Lepisosteus oculatus: one gene and its partners. The main gene of each other region encodes a partner of the protein of the gene in region 2 in a complex. Links are inferred from orthologs where the notes say so. Each region holds a gene or a part of one and is shown on either strand. Other genes may lie near its edges.

Evidence for each region. Proteins that work in one complex are often made in the same cells at the same time.
Region 1: the proteins of pak1 (region 2) and arhgef7b are in contact, whole or in part, in an NMR structure (PDB 1ZSG), measured with the Homo sapiens proteins. The link is inferred for Lepisosteus oculatus from reciprocal best matches to the Homo sapiens genes PAK1 and ARHGEF7. Residues at the interface, in NP_001363202.1 of Homo sapiens: Thr185, Pro186, Pro188, Val189, Ile190, Ala191, Pro192, Arg193, Lys198, Arg203, Ser204; in NP_001106983.1 of Homo sapiens: Lys192, Phe193, Phe195, Thr198, Asp201, Glu202, Glu217, Gly220, Trp221, Trp232, Pro234, Ser235, Asn236, Tyr237.
Region 3: pak1 (region 2) and dcp1a share a complex: the UniProt entries of both Homo sapiens proteins name them as parts of the cytoplasmic complex. The link is inferred for Lepisosteus oculatus from reciprocal best matches to the Homo sapiens genes PAK1 and DCP1A.

The regions. Positions count from the first base shown.
Region 1 is NC_090710.1:25,691,159-25,699,121, reverse strand, and holds the start of arhgef7b (rho guanine nucleotide exchange factor 7b), read right to left. Parts: upstream 3,092-7,963; 5' UTR 2,822-3,091; coding exon 2,657-2,821; intron 1-2,656. UniProt on the Homo sapiens protein: Acts as a RAC1 guanine nucleotide exchange factor (GEF) and can induce membrane ruffling. Functions in cell migration, attachment and cell spreading. Promotes targeting of RAC1 to focal adhesions. May function as a positive regulator of apoptosis.
Region 2 is NC_090700.1:9,943,380-9,951,256, forward strand, and holds the start of pak1 (serine/threonine-protein kinase PAK 1), read left to right. Parts: upstream 1-4,580; 5' UTR 4,581-4,970; coding exon 4,971-4,982; intron 4,983-7,877. UniProt on the Homo sapiens protein: Protein kinase involved in intracellular signaling pathways downstream of integrins and receptor-type kinases that plays an important role in cytoskeleton dynamics, in cell adhesion, migration, proliferation, apoptosis, mitosis, and in vesicle-mediated transport processes.
Region 3 is NC_090699.1:63,508,403-63,516,153, forward strand, and holds the start of dcp1a (mRNA-decapping enzyme 1A), read right to left. Parts: upstream 3,092-7,751; 5' UTR 2,904-3,091; coding exon 2,769-2,903; intron 2,406-2,768; coding exon 2,365-2,405; intron 1,281-2,364; coding exon 1,153-1,280; intron 1-1,152. Other genes in the region: voltage-dependent L-type calcium channel subunit alpha-1D, read left to right, coding at 7,496-7,523. UniProt on the Homo sapiens protein: Necessary for the degradation of mRNAs, both in normal mRNA turnover and in nonsense-mediated mRNA decay. Removes the 7-methyl guanine cap structure from mRNA molecules, yielding a 5'-phosphorylated mRNA fragment and 7m-GDP.

The DNA of each region.
Region 1 (7,963 bases), on a different chromosome or scaffold from region 2:
AAGAAAACGTTTTTCGTTCTTACGCAATATTTGTATACATGTAGATCAAGTTTCGAGCTTGCCTTTGTCTGAAATCCATCCATCTACTTTGTTGTTGTTGGTTTTTCTAAATTCCATTAAATGCTTCCTTAATCTGAAACATTATACATATAAAAGTAATAGAATTGTGAGAAATGAACGGAGTTTTGGGGAAAAAATACTTGCAGTGTCCCCCCAAAACACAAGGACAGCATAGTCAAGGCTATTGCTTTTGCTTTACAGTCAAGCAATTTGTATTTAAGAACAGGAAATTAATATGAGAGATGCATACAATGTAATACACTATACATTTTATTTTTAGATCATGTCATACGCACACGTGGTCATATTAGTGCGAAAAACATACTTTTTGTTGAACCCGGTGATTTCAAAGGACCAAAGGTATTGGGACACTTTCACTTTAAGTACATTTCAGAGTGTAAAAGTCAGTACATATTATCACCATTTCCCCTTGAGGCAATGACCACATTAGGCCTGCAACCCACTGAGATCACCCAGGTATCTGCGTGATCATCTGAGGGGCTTCATTAAGCCTTTGCTTCAGTAACTCAGGTTTCTTGATTTTTCCTGAGGTGTTGGGACTTTTTTTGTTCTGAACTTTTTCGTCATCATGCAAAATGCTGGTCAGCTGGAAACATGGCTTGACCATATTGGTTTGGTCAGTCTAGGACTTTTCTTTTTCTCCCAATGATAAAAGTTGTTGCATGGGCTGTATGTTTTAGGTTGTGGTCACGCTGCATGGTAAAGTGCTGCCCAACAACTACGTAAGTATCCTCTTCTGCATCCATCGCGGAGGAGCCAGGGCCTATCCCAGCAAGCAGTGGGCACAGGGCATGACCTTCCTCTACATATTCAGCGGAAATATTTCAGAATTCATTCTGCCGCTGCCATCAGTGCCTTCAAAGACCAATGAGCCAGATGTGAAGCCAGAATGTTTCACCATGTTTCCAAATTTGCTCAGAAGTACAAAACTCAGGCAGAAGATTTGGGGAACATAACTTCCAGAAAAAATCAGACCGAACCAAAACTTCACCTAAGTTTAAGTGTGGCGAAAAAATAGAAACTGCAGATGCTCCGGAAGTCATCATCTCATCTGTGAAGCCACATCAATCCCACAATCACAAATACAAATAGCCTGATTCTAAACCAAAAATAATAGTTATCACCTTGCTGTCACAATTGGGGGGCATCTGCTGTTACAGATGGATGCTGGACTGCATTGAGTTTCTCTGCTTTATATTGTTGTCGTCTTTGTGGATCTCCTACTTCTAATACACAAGGATTCTTCAATAATAAAAGTTAATATCTGGATACATGGATGATGATGTACTTTTGTGATATTAAAATTGATTTGATTTATATGTTTAAAGGATTTTAATTGTTCAAAAAAGACAGGCATTATTTACCGTAGGCTAGTTTTAACCTGAGGTATGCCCTCAAAATGACCAAAGCAAGAAGCCTGTACTAATGGCATTAATTATTGTAAATTTTCATTCCGCATTTGTGTGCTGTACACTAGGATCTTACGTCCTCTTGTTTTTAGCAGCAAATGCAAATTTAAATCTCACCTTTTTTCATGATGTAGGCTTTAGCCTTTTTTTCAAACAATTTTGTTTCATTGTTCATTAGGTTTGTTTAATGCAATGTTCATGCAATAAAATTAGTCATTTCACCTGTCGTGATTGAAGATAAAATCACCAAACTGCATTCCAGAGATTATTCAGGTACATTTCTCGTTAAGACCCAGTACATGATATTGAGGAAATTAAAGAAAGACCAATACTGAAAGAACACGACGGGAGTTCCATTTAGCTCCAAGAAGGAACCTAATAATCTGTTGGAAACGATAGCCTACATCAAAGCAATTTGTTTGTAGACTGTAGTACAGGCTACTGTAAAAACGTAACAGTAAGCTCAATTGTTCAGCACTATAAACAAGTCTGACACATGCGGTCTGACCTTCTGGTAGACAGCCGTACCCTCAAAAATGGAACTGTTCCTTTAACATTTCCGAGGGTCGTCACATACTGTGTGCGCTTTTCCAGTCAATGGCGGCCTGCTCATGTGGGATCGTATCCCCTCCACACGTAAAAAAAAATCAATAGTCGATTTTGATTTGGCGCAATTCTGTCCTCTGTCAGCGCATCACCTCCAAGTAAATAAAGCAACATAAAAAGGGGATTCCATTCTTTTAAAATCGTGTTTAAAACACATTCCCTATGTTCTTGTCTAGTGCAATTTCATAAATAAAAAAAATGTTGAAAGGGTATATTTCCCAGTGTTAGAACCAGCATCGGTTCTTAAGAGGGTTACCTCACATTCAATGATTTATGGATATTGTAGATATAGTTTGTACCTATGATATATAATAGCACCTATTGTTAGCGTCTAATACGGTAATCCCTCTCGCGTTGCGTTATTGACATCTGTGCTATATCAGTTAGCCTGCAGTAGGAGCACAATAACTACCAGACACATGACCTAAAAAGAAACATTGACCGAGACGGGGCATTAAAGGGGGATATTTTGTATTCTCCGGACGCCATCGATAGGGTTTACGCGACAAAAACACAGCGCACTGTAGCTGGGAGCGGGTAAGAATGGTAAATGTCCTTACTTTATCGATAGAACCAGGGCGCAATCGGTCCAGCAGTCTGCACAGGACCACACCATCTTTCAGAGACGATTGCAAAAATCCTTCTGGATCCGAGATGGTCTTTTTCGGCGATTCCAGGACCCCCAGAGTAATAAGCCATGTAACGGTTTGCTCTGCTGAATTCATGGCAGCATTCACGATGCAAATCCAATTGGGAGGAGGTGGGGGTGGGGGGGGGGGGGGGAGACGGGGGGCAAATTAGTTATGTGGGTAGATGTATCAATATATATTCCAATTAAAACATTTCCTCTCTACATTGGTGTGAGGTCCGGGGCAGAGACTACGGCTGATCCCTCCTTCTCCATGTAGATGCAGATGATGACGATTTGCTTTTGAAAATCCAGCAGGTCGGTTTTTGCTTTCCTCTGGGGTTGTTTTGGCCAGCTGTCAAATGCCTTTCTCTATTATACACACAACCTGCATTGCCTCCCACAAGTGATCTTCCGGCAGATGACATCATGGACACGGAAAAGCGACATGGCCACTTACAATGGTAATCAGAGAGGTATATTTGCATGGCACAGGAATACTTTTGCATGGTTTTACATGTGTGGCCTTTGAAATAGGATGGCAGCATCTGGATATGCAAAACCTCTAGCATTTTGCTTTTGTGAAAGGAAAGGCACTGTTTTGTGTGGGGGTAAACCTGAACTGGGAATAGTTCTCACCCCTGTGTTGCCTGTAGTGTATTTTATTGATTTAGTATTTGTGTTATAATTTGACAATCTCGAACCTCGAAAAACACATCACTGATATTTACAAAAAATGATAGTGGGCGTTCAAAATATTTTTCTAATTAAAGGGTAATTCAAATTATTTACGCATCTCCCAAAAAAGCTTCAGATATAGCACCTTAATGCTTTTGGATACGAAAGTCCGCCGCCTTGTGGAGACTCCTAGTATGCTTTTTCGCTTAAAACGACCTGTTTTGTCCTATTTTGTTCCACGGTTTGACTTCAATGCTTTCCTAACAGAACTTGTGAATGAGCCAGACTACATGCTTTATAAACTGTCGGTTAAATACATACATTTCTCATAATCGATTTAATACATTAAAGTGAGATTTATGTGAAAATGTTTTCCTATACTCACTCAGGAGGCGGGTATGTACAAATGAATCGTCAATAAATGTTTTATTCACACAATGGCAGTTTAAGCTGTTTTATGTATTGTGAATATTTTTGTGCATTCTATGTTGTTGTTTCGCTTTTGCAGAATGCTAGATAATATTTTTTAAATAAAAGTTTGAATAAGTAACAATGAAAATGCAGTTACATTTATGTAAGGACCAACACTGGAACATACCAGCACCTTATTAGCTAGATGTGATTTTTCTTTTCGAAATTCGTTGATTTCGATTTAATTATACTGCAAAAGCAATGCTTACAAAGCGATAAAGAACTCTTATACAACAAATGGTAATCATCGTTTATTTGTTACGATCAATAAATTGACAAACACAAACTATAAGCAAAGGATACTTTAAGATATTAGACACTTGAAAATATGAATTATTTAATATTATACTAATATTCTTAATCTATAAAATGTTAGAGTTTTCGACAAAACTATACGCCGTGTAATTATTTCTGTTTCCACACGAGGGAGACCTTGCAGCGAAAATCGTTTTACAAAATTATTTTCCGTTAAGGGATTGTTTTTTTATTCTAGATCTATTTGGCTTTAATTTGGGAATTCATAGTGTTGTGTAACAACATGTATCATATCTGTTTTATATATAAGAATGATTAAAATATCATTTGTGTCTTTCTAAAATATTTTAACATCTACTATTCCTTCCTATTGCTACTACAAATATTACTACTACCGCTGAGAATAACAAACACAACAACGTTTCTGGTGATGATGACAAATTTCATGTTGGGATCTTAAATTAAAAACATGGAACAACGGGGTTAAACTTGTAATTTTCAAATGGGTCTTTTTGGATAAGCCTACCGCTAACAAAATTCCTTTCTTCATAACATAATGATTAGTTCACCTTGCAGTTTTTCTTATCCTTACGGACAGAGACATGCGATCTGTTGGTGAAATAATCACAAGACAGAAAAAAGACACATCACCATGAAGCCCAGAAGACAATTACATGTCAGGACATGACACTTGTGCTTTAGAAAAGAGGCTGAGAGGTTTAAGAACTGTAGAGACTATAAGACTACATCCTAAAGAAAGGTAGTGAAATTCAGCTTTTCTTTAATCTAAAATAAAAGCACAGCCAATTAAATCTGGTGCTTCTATCACACACCACCCTACAGGCATAAACGACTAGTTATTGTCATTACAATAAAATAGGGTAAATAGGCCCTAGTGTGGTTTTTCGTGTTTGTGTCACTGTGTGCCCTGTAACGGATATGTGTCCTGTCCAGGGCATATCCTGTGTTGTACCTGTTGGTTGCCAAGGTAGGCTCTGACACCCGAATTAAATGAAGAGAAGAATATGGATCAAATCCAAAACTTTATTTAAAACGATATTCTTGGAAGGAAGTAGATTAATGGAAGGTTACAGTGACTTAATAATATTTACCTCAACTGTATAAACTTTATGTGTATTTGCATTTCAGCACCTTGTATGATGAAGTCTGTGACATTTTAGCACAGCTGCTGCCAGCTTCCTGGCAATCAGGAAAATACTTGTGTATCACCTTCTTATCTGATGATAATTCAATTCAATTCAAAATACTTTATTCATCCCCGGGAGGGCAATTTAAGAAAACAACTTAATAGTAATCACATTTATTCTAAAGGATCTCCAAGCATGTTACATGTTGCAAGGAACTCATTTCATCCTGCAGTGACACTGACAAGGCTATGAATTTAACATTAAAATGATGAATTCTAAAAGCATACATTTAAAAAAACAAAAATCACCTGAGTTTGTTTCATATGATTTTCATCTCTCCCACCACTTACCTCCCATTTCAGACTTGTTTTTGTCTCCTTCCTTGTCTTATTGTTATAATCATATTATTGGCAATAAATACACAAACTAAACTTTTTTAATTAAAATCATTAGTCATAACACAGTCGGCTATGATTGAAGAAATGTTTGTGACAACCATAAGTCAGTAATCAGCTTCTTGTACTGCTTTTAAAATGATGTATTTTTTTTTATTTGGCTTGTTTTTCTTTCTCAGCTTTCATCCGAAATTCTTTCTAAACTGTGCTTATTTACTTCAGTCATTTTTCATTGTGGATTCATTATTTTTATTCTGCGTCCCATGGGGAACTCTTCCAGCAATCAGCACACCTGAAATATTTATGTGGTTTTGAAGTTATCGGCACTATATGCTTAAACCCTTCACTGTACATATGCTAACACAAACAGTAACACAGCAATATTACTGAGCAATACACTGCAAGAACAAAACATTGCCTGATTTCCTTTAAGGGAAATTTGTCAAGGAAAAACATGTGTTGATGATAAATGGATAACACAATGCTAACACCCATCTGCAACCTGGCATGAGTGCTTTGTTTTAAAGCCAAATTTACACAAACATCTTCTCTCTGGGTTCTGTTTCATTGTGCTGGAACAACAGTCATGTTTCAAATACATGCGGGCTGAGTCCAGGGTGCTTCATAGTAAAATTGAATGTACTGCATTACATATGTGTGGAAAAACTCACACTTGCCATACTTTGTATGTGATAAAATGTGTTTTACCATCGGAAAAATGTGAAGACAAGTTGTTTTTCACCATTCTCCTGCCTGCCAATCAGACATCAGCAGCTTTTCTAAACCAGCATCCCAGACTTAATCATAGAAGGTTCTGAAATTGTTAGCTGTAACTTTGGTTTTGAACGTGAAACTTCAAAATAAATTTGATTATTCCAAATGTGTTCTTACATCGCATTGTTTGGGAATGTGTGTAATTTACTGTCCAATGCAGGATGTGTGAAACTGATTTATGTAGTGTTAAACACTGTTTATTAAAACAATTTCTGTTTTTCCTCTATTTTCATCTGAGTGTCACTAGGTAATGGGGTACAGCCTTGGTGTTTTATTATATTCTGTATACATTAGAAATTAAGAAACTTTTTTTGTTTGCTTTCTGAAGAATTGGATGGTGGCGACTTTGAACACAAAGACCAAACAATTCTTCGTGTCAACATCAGGGGTAGCTGTGGAGTCCATCGGTCAAATTTAAAACTGGGAGTTTTAAAACTGAAATAAAAAAATCAGTTTTCTGCAATCTTTTCATTTTCTTTTTTTTTTACTGTACTCTAAAAATAAGCTTGAACACTATTTTTGAAAATGTGTTTGTTTTGTAATGATTCACAATTAGCTGAATTGATTACCTTAACATTAAGCAAAGCTTTAACGTTACAAAGGAGGGACTGACATAATTTAGAAACACACCAAAGTTTGTGAATATATTCTTTCTGGATATATCTTCAACACTGCCGGTAATGAGAGAAGCAAAACAAAGCACGTTTTCTGGAGAGACTTCTTTCAATCATATTTTAAATAAGCCCTTATATCATTCTTTCTGTCCTACAAATACTTTGCAATGGCTTAGCTTTTCCTGGGATAACCCATGCACTATGGAAAAACAGTTTAATTAATTGCATTTTTGCATAGTTAAAACGTTAGAAATCATACAAACTGAAGGAGGCAACGTGGCCCGTCAAGATAATTTGGCTGCTTTAACTAGCAGTCAAGGTATGAGCTAAGAAAACGTTTAATACTTAAAATATTTGCGATAGTACCAAAATTTTTCATATTATTTTTTAGAATATTTTCATTTTTAACAGATAAATTCTGTTATAGAGAAGAGTGGGATTTGGGGGGGGGATGTGTACATTTGTGATGAGCTAAGAACTGCTGTCGGTAATTGTTTTATACAGGAAAAGTTAAGTTGCTAAATTTATGTTTGTTCTAAAAATGCTTAATGATATTAAGATCATTAGCATTTTTTCCGTCCTGTTAATCTTGCAGGAAGTAATGCGTTCATACCACAATTTCTCAGTGGACAAGCTGGATGTCCAAATTTAGTTTCTAAAAATAGTATATTTGATTTAATTTCGCACGTAACTGAATAATAGATTATAAGGAGTGGGGATAGCCAGATTTGTTTCTGTCAAATCTGTCTGATGCCTAGCTTGTGAATAAACACTTAAGAAAGACAAATAGTTTGCAATATTTCACGCTGAAGAAGTCCTGGAAGAATGTTGTGTATTATTTTGTGCGGCAACTCTGACTAACCCATCTTCCAGGTGAGAACATAGCATGAATTTATGCAGTCGG
Region 2 (7,877 bases):
TTCATAAAGCGTGTCGATCGGAGTGTTTGACCAGTGAGGCGAAAAAACAAGGAAACTGTTCTTGACATTCTGGCACGTTATCACTTGTATACAGAATCAGGAGTGCACCTTCAAAGAGTTTTGTTCTCTTAACTTTAGACTATACTAACGGGGAAAGGAACGCAAATGCTATATAGTTATGCAGCTATATATGCAAATTATACATGATTACTGAGACGTTCTTGCCAAGTTAAATGAGGAGAACGCCAAATGAATCCAGATCCTTTAAATTTCCGCGCTGTACCCTAAGCAGTTCCATTATATGCAAGTCCACATTGGAAGATGTGATGAGAGACTGTGCAGTGAAATACATTTGTATTGGTAAAAAAAGAAGCCCCATGGCACCATCTTGCATATCAGATTAATCTGTCTGAAGGCCAAGGGCTATAGTGTAATTTTCCACTGTCAAAAGTTTAAACAAGGATCAGTTACCTGAAATAATGGAGACTCTGTCTTATGTTGTCTGTCTTGGTTAAGAGAAAAAATATTAATGAAGCAATTGGCGTTGGCCTCTTCTTCTTTAACTGTTTTCATGTATTGCTGATTTTTTTCTGATTATTGAAAAGTGTGTATGGCAGTAAAGGAACAGAAAGAAGCTTTTTTTAAAAAAAAAAAGGGTATTGACAATAAATTTTGAATTGGCCCGTCGACAGCCTTTCCTAAAGTGTGAAAATTCAAGCTTGCAATCTCCAACACGTCAGTGTCCAAGAATAATTGTGTGCTTGATTTGCTTTCAACAGACTGTAGCAAGGAACCGTGTGTGAGAATGTGACTTCTGAAACCAGGAAATCTGAGATGCGTTAGGTTAAGAAAAGTACTTTGTGTACCTCCACGTACATATGTTTAAACCTAGGACGGTTATGCTACAAGATACAACCACGAAAGGCCCTCCACTGTGATTTCTCTCCTCAGTAACGGTAGATTCATGATCAGAACTGACTTGCCACATAAGCACATACATAATGTAAAACAAAAAAATCTTTCCAGGTAATACAAATCTGACGTTTTCTTGTTGGTTGCTATATTTTGTAAGCAGTTTCAGGACCACAGTCCCAGGCCTGAGCTTGCTCTTCAGGAATCGACCTCGTGTGGTAGCAGGTATTGTGCTGGACTGTTAAAGAGGCCCAAGGGAAGGAGCAAACATTATCGATTCTGGGCTCTCCTCGGCGCAGCCTCATCACTGTGTAGGGTAACACTATCCTGGAGTTAACTTCTGATCGATGCACACGCGCAGCTGTTTTTGTTAGCCATGGTTGTTTTCGTTTCAAATTAAATTGGGTAACCTGTTATTAAGAAGAAGGCGAGCGGGTATTTTGGTGAGGACAGACGGTCACGCTGTCATTTATTGAGGGATGAGCTGGCGAGGATGTGGGGGGCGGGCGTGGAGGGGGGGGTGCGTGTGCGGTTTCCAGTCTAATGAAGGACATGAATCCGAAACGACAAAACAAGCAAAAAAAAAAACCAAGCCATTAAATATGCAGAATCTCTCTCATGGCAACAAAACTGAACTGCTGAGTCAGTGTTTTAACGCTTGGCACCCGAAATGTTGGGATTTTAATGTTTTTTTTTTTCCTTTATTCGAAGACGGGGGGGGGGGGACACGCAGTACTGTGTGAGGATTTCTGTGTTGCCAAACAAAATGGTCCAAGTTTGTGGTCATGTGATAAACCTTTTAAATCACTAGAAGTGCTTCCCTTTTTAAGTAAGGTGTTGAATGAAAATGTACTGCTGATGTTACTGTGCTGGGGTGCTGAATGCAGCTCATCTGCAGTGTGATGCTAATCATTTGGTCACAATTACCTGTCCGTTTTCTGTTTCAGCATGCTGTAGCTGTGTGGCTCTTCTCAACTGTCACTTCCAGAGTAATGTTTCTTGTAACAGGGGACCTAATTTATATGACTATTGCCTATATTGTGTTGAAAGTGTGAAAATGATCTAACCTGGCCAAAGCCCCCCTCTTAAGACTATGAAATAAGGGGGAACCCCCAAGCTGGGGTATGACACAGGGGGAAAGACATTTTGAAATTCTGGCTAACTTTTGGCTTTGCGTCCAGTAGATAATGCTCTGTCAGAAAGCAGTGTTCACTAGATCAGGCTGAAAGCAGATCTGTCTTTCTTGTCTTGAAGTTGTAGAATTACAAATGTATATACCGTGGACACATCTTGGGAGTCTGGGGAAGATGAGGGGTTAAAATGGCATAGAAAATCACAACCTTAATGAAAGGCCATTCCAAAACACCCTTTGTCCCCTTCTCCCGAACTGTTGAATTTCAACATGCGATGTCACAGTGGAGACCGCAATCAATTTAACATTCAGCATGCTTCAGATTCATGCAAAGGGTCATTTGACTGTTTGAAAAAAATGGGAATTTTATAATATCATTCAGGTGTATAACCGATAGAAAAAAAAGGTCTTCTCTCTGTAATTATGTGAGTGCAGTACTGTATAAACTGCAACTGTTGAACTGCTCATGGACGTGAATTTCTTGGGTTCTTGGAATTAAACAGACTGACGAGCCAGTCATTTCTGCCTGTCAGCCCAGATCTTTCATTTGCTTGCTTTAGGAAATGAGTCAAGATTACATTGTGAGCCCCAGTCATTCTTAGGTATGAATTTGAGAAAGTCAAAGCAAGCATGGTTTGTGTGGAGTACTACAGTACATAGCAGAAGTTCTAGATAAATTTCTGCTTGGACAGGGTTAAAGTTTTCCATGGAGTGTGTTGGGACTGTTAAAGGCTGGGTGTAGACTGATTTCAGTGCTGAATAGATGAAGTGTTATTCTTCCTCTGTGTAATGCTCTCTGTCAGAGTGTATATATCATGATCTATTACCAGGAGCAGGGGACAGTGCAAGTAGATGGAGAAGCATTCCTACAGTGAGCCTTTTATCTTACTTCCCAGATACAGTCCGAGTAGACTCTTTTACAGCCAAACTGTGCTGTCAGGCTTGAAAATGAATTACACCCGCTGTATGTGGTGCCATCAGCATATTGTTGTGTCCATGAAGAAGCCGACTCATCAGTCTGGATGATCATTAAATCTACATTGCTTGATGATGTATTTAGCGCCATTCTGTGTTGAATCCAAAAGTGCACGAGCAATATAAATGATTATCACGTTATATAGTTTATTCTGAAAGCCTCCTCATAGAACGTATTTATCTTTTCTTAACAATTCTCAGCGCTCTAGGCTGTCTGTGACGAAAGTATCGGTGAATTAATAGCAACTTAGTGCGTGCGTTTTAGTTTTGTTCTGGTGTTTGCCCCCGTTCCAGGGCAAGTTGTCGAGGGTGCAGTCAAAGCGAATTTGTCCTTTTTCAGCTTCGGCGCGAAGCCTGGGTGGCTGAGAGCGCTCTGTCTTTTGAGGGCCGTTCTGCAGCTTCCATATGGAAGTGAGTCCCCCCACCCTCTCGTCTCTGTGGATTTGAAACAGCAGGTGAATGGTGTGCGCCACAAAGCTTTTTTTGGGGGGCTGGAACCATTTAAATGCAAATTGTCCTTGCCTCCCTCCCCCCCAGCGCCATCTGCCGTTCCCCAGGCCCGGTGTGTGTGGCTCCCGTTGGGACGCGTGGGCCGGCACCTCGAGGGTTTGAATGAATGCGCCCCGAGCTCCTCCTGCAGCAAAAGAACACAGACTGCACCCCAGCTTTAATTCTCCGCAGGCCTGGGCCTGGGGTAATGGTTAATTGATGAATGGGTGAATTTCAGCAAATCGCCTGTCAGGTGAGGAGATGCGGAATTAACGCGCAGCAGGTCTGCGATCGGGCAAGCTTTCCTTCTCCGGAAGATACAGCCACACTGTGCTTGCCTGCGTGTTGAGCAGCAGCAGAGCTGTCACGGGGGATGAGTTTGTTGTGACCTGTTTTTTTTGTTTTTTGGAGAACCTACCAACTGTTACAAATGAGAGGAGGCCATTTGACCCATCTACCGTGTGGGGTATTCAGGAGTTCGAGGATCTAAGGATTTGTCTTTTCTGTCGTTTAGTATTTGAAATCCCATTTGCCACCAGTGAATGGTTGAAGGCTGTGTTCTTGGAAGCGCTGGACATGGTAGCTTGTGTTTAAACATTGACATCAGCCAGTGATACTTTTGTCTCTTTAGGTTTTTGTCTGGACCTCAGGACCAAGTTTAATTCCGTCAAGTTTAACCCTGAGTGTCTCAAGCCACTTTATTGCCGTTTTGACAGTTTTTGATTTGGGTTAATTTCTGGTTTATTTTGAGTTCTTTTCCTTTTAATGAATTATAGTATGAGTTATGTTTTCAGAAATGTATTCTAGGGGATGGTGTAGCGCAGGGCTAATGAGCTCAACTCTTGGAAGCTCAGAATCTTCTAGTTTTTGTTCTGTGCTAAGTAGTCAAATAAACAATTGATTAAATTATTGTTTTAGACCCAGGGTTTTTTTTAAGGTACTGTATTTTACAGTTCATAGCTTACTTTAGAGGAATCCACTCTCTAAATACCTGAAGACACTAGGCCTAACAGGAATTTTATATGAGATCCGTGTTGATAAGTATTGCTCATAGTCTATTCCTAAAATTTCTTTATAGGTATCCTCTGGGTTTTAGTCATTGGTTTTTTTTTTATCCAGGGTTTCCTGGTACAGTAAGTTCATTGACGTTTGTGGCTGAATGCGACTTGTGCCTGACTCAGATGCTTTACCTGTAAAATGACCTTCACACTGACGTCCCAAAGATATAGTGTTTCTAAAATGCTAATAAGGTGGTTTTTGTGTTCGTGCATACTTCTTTCCTTGGTGTTTGTAACAAACTGCACACTGCAGACAAAATAAACGCTGTAGTGTTCTGTCTTTGGGGATCTGCTTGAAGATGTAGGATGGCACATTTCAATACAGTGCAGGTCGTTTCAGCCTAATATATGCTAAAATATACATTTGAAGTTGCATTTTTTCCGCCAGAGGGGGCTTCATTAGCATGCATAAAATGGTAAGTTGTGTTTTTTTTTTGCTGACTCTGTGGGGCAAAGCCCTCTTTATTGACGTTTAAAGAACAAACAGTTTTATTGAACAAACTGTAAGTTAGATGAATGGAGGAAAGATGTTTTCCGCATGTCTTCTGTTCTTTAGAGTGTCTTTTAAGCTTCCAGCTTGCACTTAATGAGTTGACTGGCCCTTGGACTGTAGAAATGTTACAAAAAGTAGCTGAGTATCTACCCCTGCAGCACAGCACCATCCTGAAATGAGAAATGGAGCTTTGTTCTTTGTCCAGTATTATTATTATGTGTAATAATTGTGTACACCTGCAAGCCTAGTGGACACAATATTGCTGCTTTCTTTCCTAGATTTATATTTCAGTCTGTATCAATCCCAGTTGTCAGAACTTGTCAGTATTTGGTGTTTTTATATATGGTATTGGCTATTATTGTCTATCACTAGGAGTTTTCTGAGACTGTCCTTACGATTCTGTAATTGTTTTTTTTAGTATGTGGAGTAAACATCTTAATGAGATGGGCTGTTAATAATCTACCCATTATTATTTATAGTGACAGTCATTTACAGTGATTAATTGAACAGCTGGCAGAATTTGTATTCCTTCATAGTTGTCCTAAAACATTTCTTAAAATGTCAAGGCTTTCAGCGCAGTCATATGCTTACTGCCACGAGATGAGGATTGATTAATTGATGGTGTATTGATTTAATGCAGGTAAAAATGTCCCAGCCGTGGTTGGTGGTAGGCAGTGTTATTTAACCTGAACAATGCTGCAGCTTGCTCTTACTGGTTCAGCGACTCTCAGTAAGGGAGTTCAGAAGCCTTTGGCAAGTGTGTCTTGTTTGACTGAGGTAACTGAGACCTTTTGATGTTTGGGGATGATGAAGGCAGATGTTTTGGGGATATTTAAGCACGCTGTGCTCAGCAATAGTATTCAACTGGTTGAAACCTAAAATACAGATTTACCTCAAATACAGTAGTTGTTCTGTACTGTGATTATGGTTTGATGGATGTTTATTTTGTTTGCTCTACCTCTCCTTCTTTGTGAGATGGCTCTTCCTTCGCCTCCAGGTGAAGAACAACACACAGTTGGGGATGAAGGTGGAATGTGTGTAGCTCGTCTTCTTCGGCTTATTTCTGTCTGGTTTTCCGATCGCGCTGCATCACGTTGGTGAGATGCAGATATTTCATCCAGCAGGGATGTGGTTAACCCCCAGCTCTGTCATCAGGGGGTCGCCGCTGTTGGCTCAGTTTAAGGAACTCGTTTCCTCGCTTTCCTGTTGTGTGACTGGCATTCAGACTTGTGGGCGATCGCAGTTGTTTAGTCCAGCTGGGAAGTGGTTAAACCATGGGAACTGAAGCTCCTCAAACTCTCACTGCTCTCTGTGCTGTTTCTGTCTGGTTTAGGAGTCGGTGTGACTGGAGGAGTCTTCACAGCCTAACAGTACGCAACCGAGGATAGCTCTGTCTTTTTTTAGCCTGTGTCGCTCGAGGTGCCAGGCGAGATCTCTCGACGCCCTGAGCACATTCTGTCAGCGCTGAATCGGCAGCTTAAGGAACGAGCTGTCATGGTTTCTGGAAATATGGTTTCATATGTACCCACATACACGTTTCATAAGCCGGTTGCAAGGAGTTCATATAAGGAAAAAGCCCCTAATTTTTCTTGTAATTTCTGTCCTACTGTTAGGACATGTTTATATTATACTTTCAGGCCTCGCTTGGGTTTATATGGTAGTGCAATAAAAGCCTTGCTGCTAGACGTTTCTGATGTGTGAGGAGCTGTAACAATGAACAAACGGAGAAACGATCTTAAGTGATTTACAGTAACAGTTAACAGTATAAGTTAAGGGGTTTCAGTTCAGGTTTTGTTTAAAAATAACTTAGGCACTTATAAGAGAAATGTGGGTTGTCACTTATTCATTCTAGATAAATATCTTATAAGATCACTTTATTGGCCATAAACAATTTCTTGTATTAGGAATTTGTCTTTTCGCATATCCCAGCTTGCTCTCCATGAGACACACAGACGAGGAGAGAGAAGCTTGAGGTCAGATTTATACGGCACCCCTGGAGTAGTTGGGGTTAAGGGCCTTGCTCAGGGGCCCAATGGAGTAGGATTCCTCTGCCAGCCGAGGGATTCAAACTGGCACCCTTCCAGCCACAGGCGCAGATCCTTAGCCACAGAGCCACCACACTGCCCCCTTATTCTTTCACTGCTACTGCTATAGAATATAGTCTGCTGTATTCTTTTTAAAGATGGACCTTTTTGATACATTACTCATCAGTGGAGAAGAGAGGGGATGACATAAGTGGTTGAAGCAAGATGACAGAAGCACTTCCCCTGACTGTACACATTTAATTTTTTTGCCCTCTGGGGAAAACAACCAAAGCCAGTACTCTTCCAAAGCTTTATCATGTAGATTTTTGCCTTTCTAGACGAAGTGACTCAGGCTAAATCACAACTTGCAGTAAATGCTTTAGCGAAGTGACTAACGGCACTCCTCTGTGGTACCAGCTGTGTGGATAGCATTGCAAGGTAATGTAATACAAGAATAGTCTGAAGTTTTAACTATTGCCACTCAGGCAGATGCTTGCAGATGCTAACTTTCCAGTGGGAATGTCCTTTTAATCCTATGAAACTAAAGAGCTTGGCAGTTCACAGCAAATAAGAGCCGGGTGCAGTAATGATGAATTCCCTGGGATAGGCTGAGCATCGCGGTGTCTTTATGGGGTGTGTGGTATAATTTCATTGTAAATATCCCTGCCTTGGGGGCAAAAAAATTACCAGCAACTTAAAATACGTCCGCACAGTCTACTATCGGGAACATTTTGTGAGTATTTCTTGGCGTTAAACGCAGTGAATCTTGCGTTACCTTGTTTAGGATCATGCTA
Region 3 (7,751 bases), on a different chromosome or scaffold from region 2:
TCCACATGTGAATACAGTCAAACATCTTCACAGTACAAATCAAATAAACGTGAAAAATACAATTTCACACATAAACCACAGCAAAAAGACAAGTTTTGTGCTGGATGGCATCTTCTTCATGTGCACCCTATTCATAACTTCAAATATGGACCTGCATGTTCACTATCAAACTCCTGGCTTCAAAATAGAACCGAACTCAACACTGACCAGGCCATCCACAGCACATAACCAAGGCAATCAGATGATCCAAGGCTTCCTATTCGTCCCCACTCACTCATGTTAATGTTGAAAAGTGCACCAATCTCTCAGTGATTTATGAGAAAAGCACAATGATGAATTTTATGAGACCCTCCCACCCATTTTCTTCATCTGCTGCCTCCAGCTATACTTGTATTATCAATGCCCACGGTCTTCAGAATGAAAAGTTCAACAGTTATTCTAGTCCAGAACATACTTGAGGAAGAAGCAGTTTCTCCAGGAAAATGCAACTTGGCAGGCAGCAAAAACAGACCAAGGAGAGCACCCAACAGGCGAGTGATACACATCACCAGACGGGTGCTGCTCAAGTGAAGGATGCACATTTACAGAAACTACGGATTTCTGCTGTATTGTGCAGTTGGCCCCTGGAGACAACACTGCACTTCATTAAGACAGCTTGTGCTCAAGTGCTAAGGAAGTGAATCCACATTTCCCAGGGGCTAGCATTATCCTTAATAAGAGTGCTAATGTGTTCTAATGCACACTGTGGGGCGCTTTCTAACTTACTCATGGAGCCAACTTTGCAAATCATTTGGAAACTAAGTACCACGAACTACATGAAGAAGGCCGCTCATTCCAGCTAGCAATAAAGTTAATGACGGCAGCCTAAAAACTCTTTTTGATCAAATGCCACCAACGAGAATCCTGTGGCGCATCAGTGCTGTCTACAGCTAATTCACGTGAACGTCCATTTCAAATCCTTCCCTTTTCCCAAAAAGAAAGTCTTCTATACTACAAAAACTTCTCCAACAAATCTGTCTGCATTTTTTTTTCCCTTTTCAACTCACATTCTAGAAAGAGAAATTTGTGACTCTCTCTCTCTCCCCCAGGTCTCTCCACTGCTTCTTGACCTAGTATGAGATAAAGTTAGAAACAGCACAAGAGGGCACTTACAGTTTGAATTTCTGTACAGAAGAAATGGGTCCTGGAGCTGAAACTCTAGGTCTTTGTTAATGGGCTCCACAAGATTTTTCATGTTCAGCCGGTTCATTATCGTAAAGCCATGATATGGAGAAGCTGACCTACAATTAAAAAAAAATACCATTTTCAAATTCTGGAATAACACCTGTTAAAAACCTGGCAACTCACACAAACGAAAAATTCAATTTGGGAAAACTTGAGCTCAGCAACATTAAAACCAGTGCATTTATTCTGCATATAAAGAGCGCTAAGTGGAGTAAGTGTTCTACAGAAGTAACATTTTTAATAATTCAGAGTTAGTGGGCTGTACCTTCCATGTCTTGACTGAGTATATGATGCAAAGCCAACCGTTCACCGAGTTACATGTTGCATTCTGTTTTTGCAGTGAAAGATTGAGAGATTAAGATTTCTCAACAGTGTAAATTGATATTTTTTATCACACTGGCAGTCATTATGCCATAAGTGAATCTTAAAATCTGAAGGTTTGACTTGTAAATGTATACTTCTAAAAATGTTAAATAGTTCTAATACGACTTAAAATTGCCAAAATGTCTATCCAGTGCCAAGTGAATTGTGACCTATCTTTCAGATTTAATTTAAAACTGTGGTCTCTGACTCACTGGTCTACAGCACTGGTTACTGACACCTTCTTCTCTCCTATAGATTTTCAGTCTTAACAGTAGCTTCTGATAAAAACTAATTATTATACTGGAAAAGACAATATGGTTTACATCCATGATGGACACATTTTAAAACAGTGGCCTAACTGTAAATCCTAAGTGCTCTGGAATCTAAAGCAATGAATACAAAATACGTTACTCTGTTTCAATAAGTGTTCATACTAGCTGTTTCTTTCTGCAGATGGGAATATATTGTATTATGTGCTTCACAGCTCCTTCCAGAATTATTACTCTTTACACCTGAATTGTTAATTTTTCCATTACTTCCAAACCGCAAACTACTCTTGACTATTAAACTATGAACGAGACAGCTTTTTGATAAGATATTTTAATAAGATAGTTTGAGATTTTAAAAGATTCTTAATAAATTCATAAATATTGAGGCCTAATCTTGACCAAAACACGTGTACTGGTGACCAGAACCTTGATTGTTTTTTTTTTTTCTGGGATAGGGGAGGAGATCATAGATATAAGAGATACTCGTATCCGACTTCGAATACGTTACCTGGCGTACACAAATAAGGTACCCTCAATGTCGGTTTTCTCCTGGAATATAATACAAAAAGAAAACAATCTTAAAATCTTACTTCAAACTCCTTTTCACCTGTTGGTTCAGTCTAAATTAACATAAATTATGCAACGCCAATTTTAAGAATTCCATCTACAAACACCAGATGTACTAACAAGACTATCCGTATCAGCATTTAAGATACTCATTCACCTTTTTTTTAGATTCAGAATCTCTTTATTCGAAACCGTTCATTAAAAAAACATTTCCGCTGAAGGGAGAGATGTCAGTTTAATATAAAAGTTGGTTTCAATATGTGCTCCATACAGAAACTTCACTGAAACAAGCCTCAGACTCGCCGCTTTCTAAACTATATGTCGAAAAATTTTAATACACCTTACCCATTCGTTTGCTTTGGAGTTAAAGGTATAGAGTGCTACCTGCCCGGTTACATCGATGATTCTATTAATATAAGGGTCATTCTGTTTTAAAGCTGCCAGACTCATATCATGTCCTACTTTACTGATAGCCTCCATCTTGGATTCTAAATCCCCAGTACGAGCATCCTACGGAGGGATTTCTATGAACACTCCCTCCTCGTAGGGCAACAACAGACCTAGAAATAAACGTTCCTACTGTAACAAAGGGCTTTTTCGTTCCGCTTAGTTCACTTTCGAAGGGAAGGGGAAAAGATTATTAGGTCACTATTCAATCGTAAAAGCCGATTTAAGATTTTAGTACTGTTTTATTTTTCTTTCTCATCAGGCTAATCATGATATTTTAGGAACATTATAGAAACACACAGAGATGAGTATCCGACCGAGTAAAAATCGAAATCCTAATACCACTGAAAACACTCATTTCAACCAGAACTAAGCTAATCAACGTCACAAACTCCAAATAATTGCGGACTATACTCTTATGTATTTATTTATTTTCATTAAAAGAAGTTTATATATTTTACCGTTATCTAAATTGTTTAAAATTATTACATTTTGCTGTCTTCAATCTATAATGCTGGATTTATACACACACGTGTAAAATATAAAACCTGATGGTGGCCACAAACTAAATTTAATACAGACGTATGCAGAACATGCTTTTATCTGGTTCGAATGAAAGTGCCTCTAAATCCAATTACAGAGTACAGAAAAAACGCAAGAGGTCCCCGTTTACAAAAGCCTCAGTTTAAACCAGTCCCACGTTGTACATTTTTAATAAGATTATTTGTCTATTAGCCTATCGAGGCTTGTAAGGCGGAGTTAGCGTTGATACTATCCTGTTTTGTGAATGGTAGAAGGCGGGGCTGGCTTTTTTTGCTTGCTACTCTACAAAGTGTGCGTCTTTGAGGTTTAAAATAGACACAGACCAGATTTCTCAACCTTAAATTGCCAATCATGACTCCCCTTTCCAGACTGTAATGGCACCGGTTAAATTGGTTTAATCTGTTCAAGACAGTTCTTAGAATCCCCACATACCTAGGGCATTCTCCCTTGGAGCAGTGCTGCACATACAGCATTAAAATAAACTGTGTGACATCCAAACAATCAGAAGAGGGAAAAAAATCTGACAACACTAAACATAAAATGAGTAAAATAGCCAATTAAACAGAAGTGAGAACAAATGTTCTATCTGGCCGAAGGCTGAAATAGGTCAGTTGCGACACTCCTTGCTTCCCTCAAGAACATTAGAAGGATTAATAATTCAAGGATTATCTCTGAGAAACAATTATCTGCTGCAGACAGGTAATCCAATATCCTGAAACCTTCCACCCAGCAGTGCCATTTCACTTTGTGGTTACACTACGAAATGCGTGACAAACGTATAGCTGAAGTTGTGCGGATGTCCCAAAACGAGAGAAGATGAATGGCTTTATTTGTCGAGCTTCCAAGTCGGTGAGGTAAGGCTACGCTGGTTTTCTGGGGTTTAAATGGTATCGGACTGTAGAAAACAGATGCCACAGGAGCTGCATGTTGGGGAGACAGAAAGAAAAATGCGATAAGAGGTGGTTCTGCATGTTTGGCTTGACAGTAATGTTAAGTCAGCAATATGTCTGCTATTACTTTATTTCAAGTTTTTGTTATATCGCATTTGTATTGTCTGTGTTTAGAGTGTTAACTTGAAACAACATGAAAGAAGTCTGACTCATATTGGAAGTGGTGCTTACTAACTTTAATATAATATTTTAAAATTACTTGTGATACAGTGTATTCTCTGGGTAACATATAATTATGTATAAGTGAAATACTTGTCTAAAGGGAGAGAATTAGTATACTGGTAAGCAACAGATATGGTCACTTTATACTGTTTGTATGGTAGAAGCCACAGTATGACCATTTCCTTTTATCCATTTTTCTTTCGTTTTCTTTAAGTCATGTCCTATATGTGCTTCTGATATGTACAGGTACTTGTTGCCCTTTTCAATATTGAATCTAGAGTTCAGTTTTAAATTGTTTTCCAAAATAATATAATGTAAAATATGCATCATCTGGAATTGAAATATTCTGTTCCGATATTCCCTTAGTATCAGATAAAATATGAAAGACTATATATTCACACATTACATTGTTGCTAGGTTATAGAATTATGCTGAGATATCCTGTTTTATACTGTTAAGTTTAATGGTGTCTGTTTTCATTGATTAGAGGTCATAATAACAGAACAGTAGCAGAATCTGGGGTAATATTACATCTGATTTTAAAATAACGGTTTTGTATAGATTTTGTACATTTTCATATTTGTCATTATCACAGATTTAGTTTTAGTTTTATTGAGCTGTCGTGAAAAAATGTTTTGCTGGACATTTATACATCTTTATTCCAACATACATAATATAACTTGCCTTTAAATTGTAATTGACAATAAAATAATGTACCAGGACCTTTATATTATTGCTTAATATTTGGTTTTAAATGTGTAAGACACTTTTGAGCCAGACATAGTAACAAAGTAATTCTAGGCCTCTTTTACAGCAAGCTATGACACAGGACTATGATTACCAAAGTAAAAGCGCACTGCTGTAGTTAAATTACAGTCCTTGGCACTAAAAAATCAACATTAATGACTTCCTACTATTGAGGACAATTGGAGTACAGCATTAAATACCTTTGGTTTTGTTGTATGATTTCAGTTTTTGGAAGCTTTGCAAAAGGCTACTGTCATCGGGTTTTGGAATATTATTAAGAATGATAGAAATAAAAGCACAAATTCTGACCTATAATTAAGATGAAATGGGATTTTGTAACCAACCTCTAAATTTCAGAACTACTCTCATTCATTGTTTTTAACTTACCAGATTATAAATTAACCACATATTAGCAGCTGTTACGTCAGAAATAAGGGTACGGAAAATTTTCGAGAGACGCTCAAGGTTTGGTGTTCAGAGGTTGCTGGAAACAATACACCTACAGTAGAGTATTTCTGAATCTCAGGACTGAGCGCAGAAACAAATAAACTGAACAACCCAAAAGCAAACAAGCAATCAGATCGATTAAAGGCATCAGTGAATACTGGTGATGGAGAGCTCAACTGGAATGAAAACCAACGGAGTGGTTCCCCCAGGACGAGGGACAGGAACCACTGCTCTAGAATATTCCTGTTAACAACAGTAATATGATCATGCCATGTGAAATCAGATACAATGCTTTTATCCACAGTGTCACCCTAACAAGGATGCTCCCGGGGTAATACTGAATTTATCAAGCTAGGAGACAGAGAAATTAATACATATTTATAGAACATAAGAACAAGAAAGGTTACAAATGATAGATGGCTATTTGATCTGTCTTGCTTGTTTAGTTGATAGTAGCTAATTGAATTCATTCAGCTGTTTCTTGAGCTTCAACAGCTCGACTGAGTAGCTTGTTCCAAACTCCCATGCCTCCTATTCTAAGTTTTAAATGCATTTCCACTTAGTTTTCAGTTGTCCTCTACTGCAGTTCATATCGGAGTATTGATTCTGAAGAAGAGTGGACTTTGTCGATGGCCTTGGGAATTTTCAACCCTTCAGTTAAACTCCTCAGAGACCTTGTAGTCTTCTGCATTTAAGATGAAAGAGATTTGGGGGTTTTTAACCTGTGAGTCTAGGACTTTCCTTGGGCTGAATTAAGAGCAGCAATTGTTTTTTTATGAGGTATAATGATCAAAATTGTACACAATATTATTTACAATATTGTACGTCTCCTTCCTTCTCTATATTGTCTGGAAGATGAATTGGCAACTGAGAAACCAAATCAGGTGAATGGCCCCATTTTTCTTACTGTATGTTCTTGTACTGTATTTCCCATTTTATATTTATAGCTTATGTTTCTGTTACCTGTGTGTAACACTGCGTGCTTGTCTGCATTATATGTCGTCTGCCAGGAGTCTGACCATGAATTTATTTAATTATATGTCTCTAGCTGTAAATGGATTTACAGTGTTTCTTAAAAAAGGATATTCTTAAACCTATAAGATATTAGTCTTATTGTATAGAGTACCAGCATTACATTATCCAAAATTATATTCTACAAAAAGCACCGCGCGGGACATGTATTTTTAAGTTAACAAACTAGCCTCTGAGGGACTTAAACCACATTAGTTTCTTTTATATACTATATAGTAGCCTAAATTGATTTATACGAGTTTTCGGTCTTGTCCAAAATTCTGACATTCTGTATCATAAAAAGACTAAAGCAAAACATTGAACGTCACTCAAACTGAGCATTCACGGACATACCTGCAACACAACGTCCAAAATAAGAGTCTTTTAAAGACCGACCTCTAAGGACCTCGTCTGCGAATTTTTCAATATATTCGTTGAATTCATTGGTTAAAAGCGGGCTAAGATGGTTTATAATGTTTCGGCTGCTGATACGGAAACTGAAAGGAACGTAAATGGAATTTCTTTTGTGATGGGATTTACTTCTTTCGCCCTTTTTTTTTTGACTGCATCAGGAGTTGCTATGAAATCCATCTTGTGAAGCCAGCACCCGGATGTTGCAATAACGATGTGAGATATAACTCCCAGGGATAACTATAGGAACCACTTGTGTAAATAACATGGGGGTGGGCTGAAAGGGGGGCAAATCATTATTTTGGCTTATTTGTTTTTATTGGATCTTTGCAATATTTTAAATGAGGAAACGAGATGTATGAACAAGAGGACCAACGAAAAGGTAACGGAGCTGTGATCTCTTGTTTTCAGTTGTCTTCTGATGCTGTACCGGCAACGCTGTAGAGCTGAAGATGCTCTCTCTGTACGATAAACATGGAAGGGTTTAATGAATGCATATGTGTCTCTATTGCCCTCCGGCTAATGAATTTTAATTCGTTCTTTGGGGCTGGACATGCGTTTTTTTTCCGGTTGCAATAGCAATGGAGTTTTCTGTCTGAAACTGTGAGGA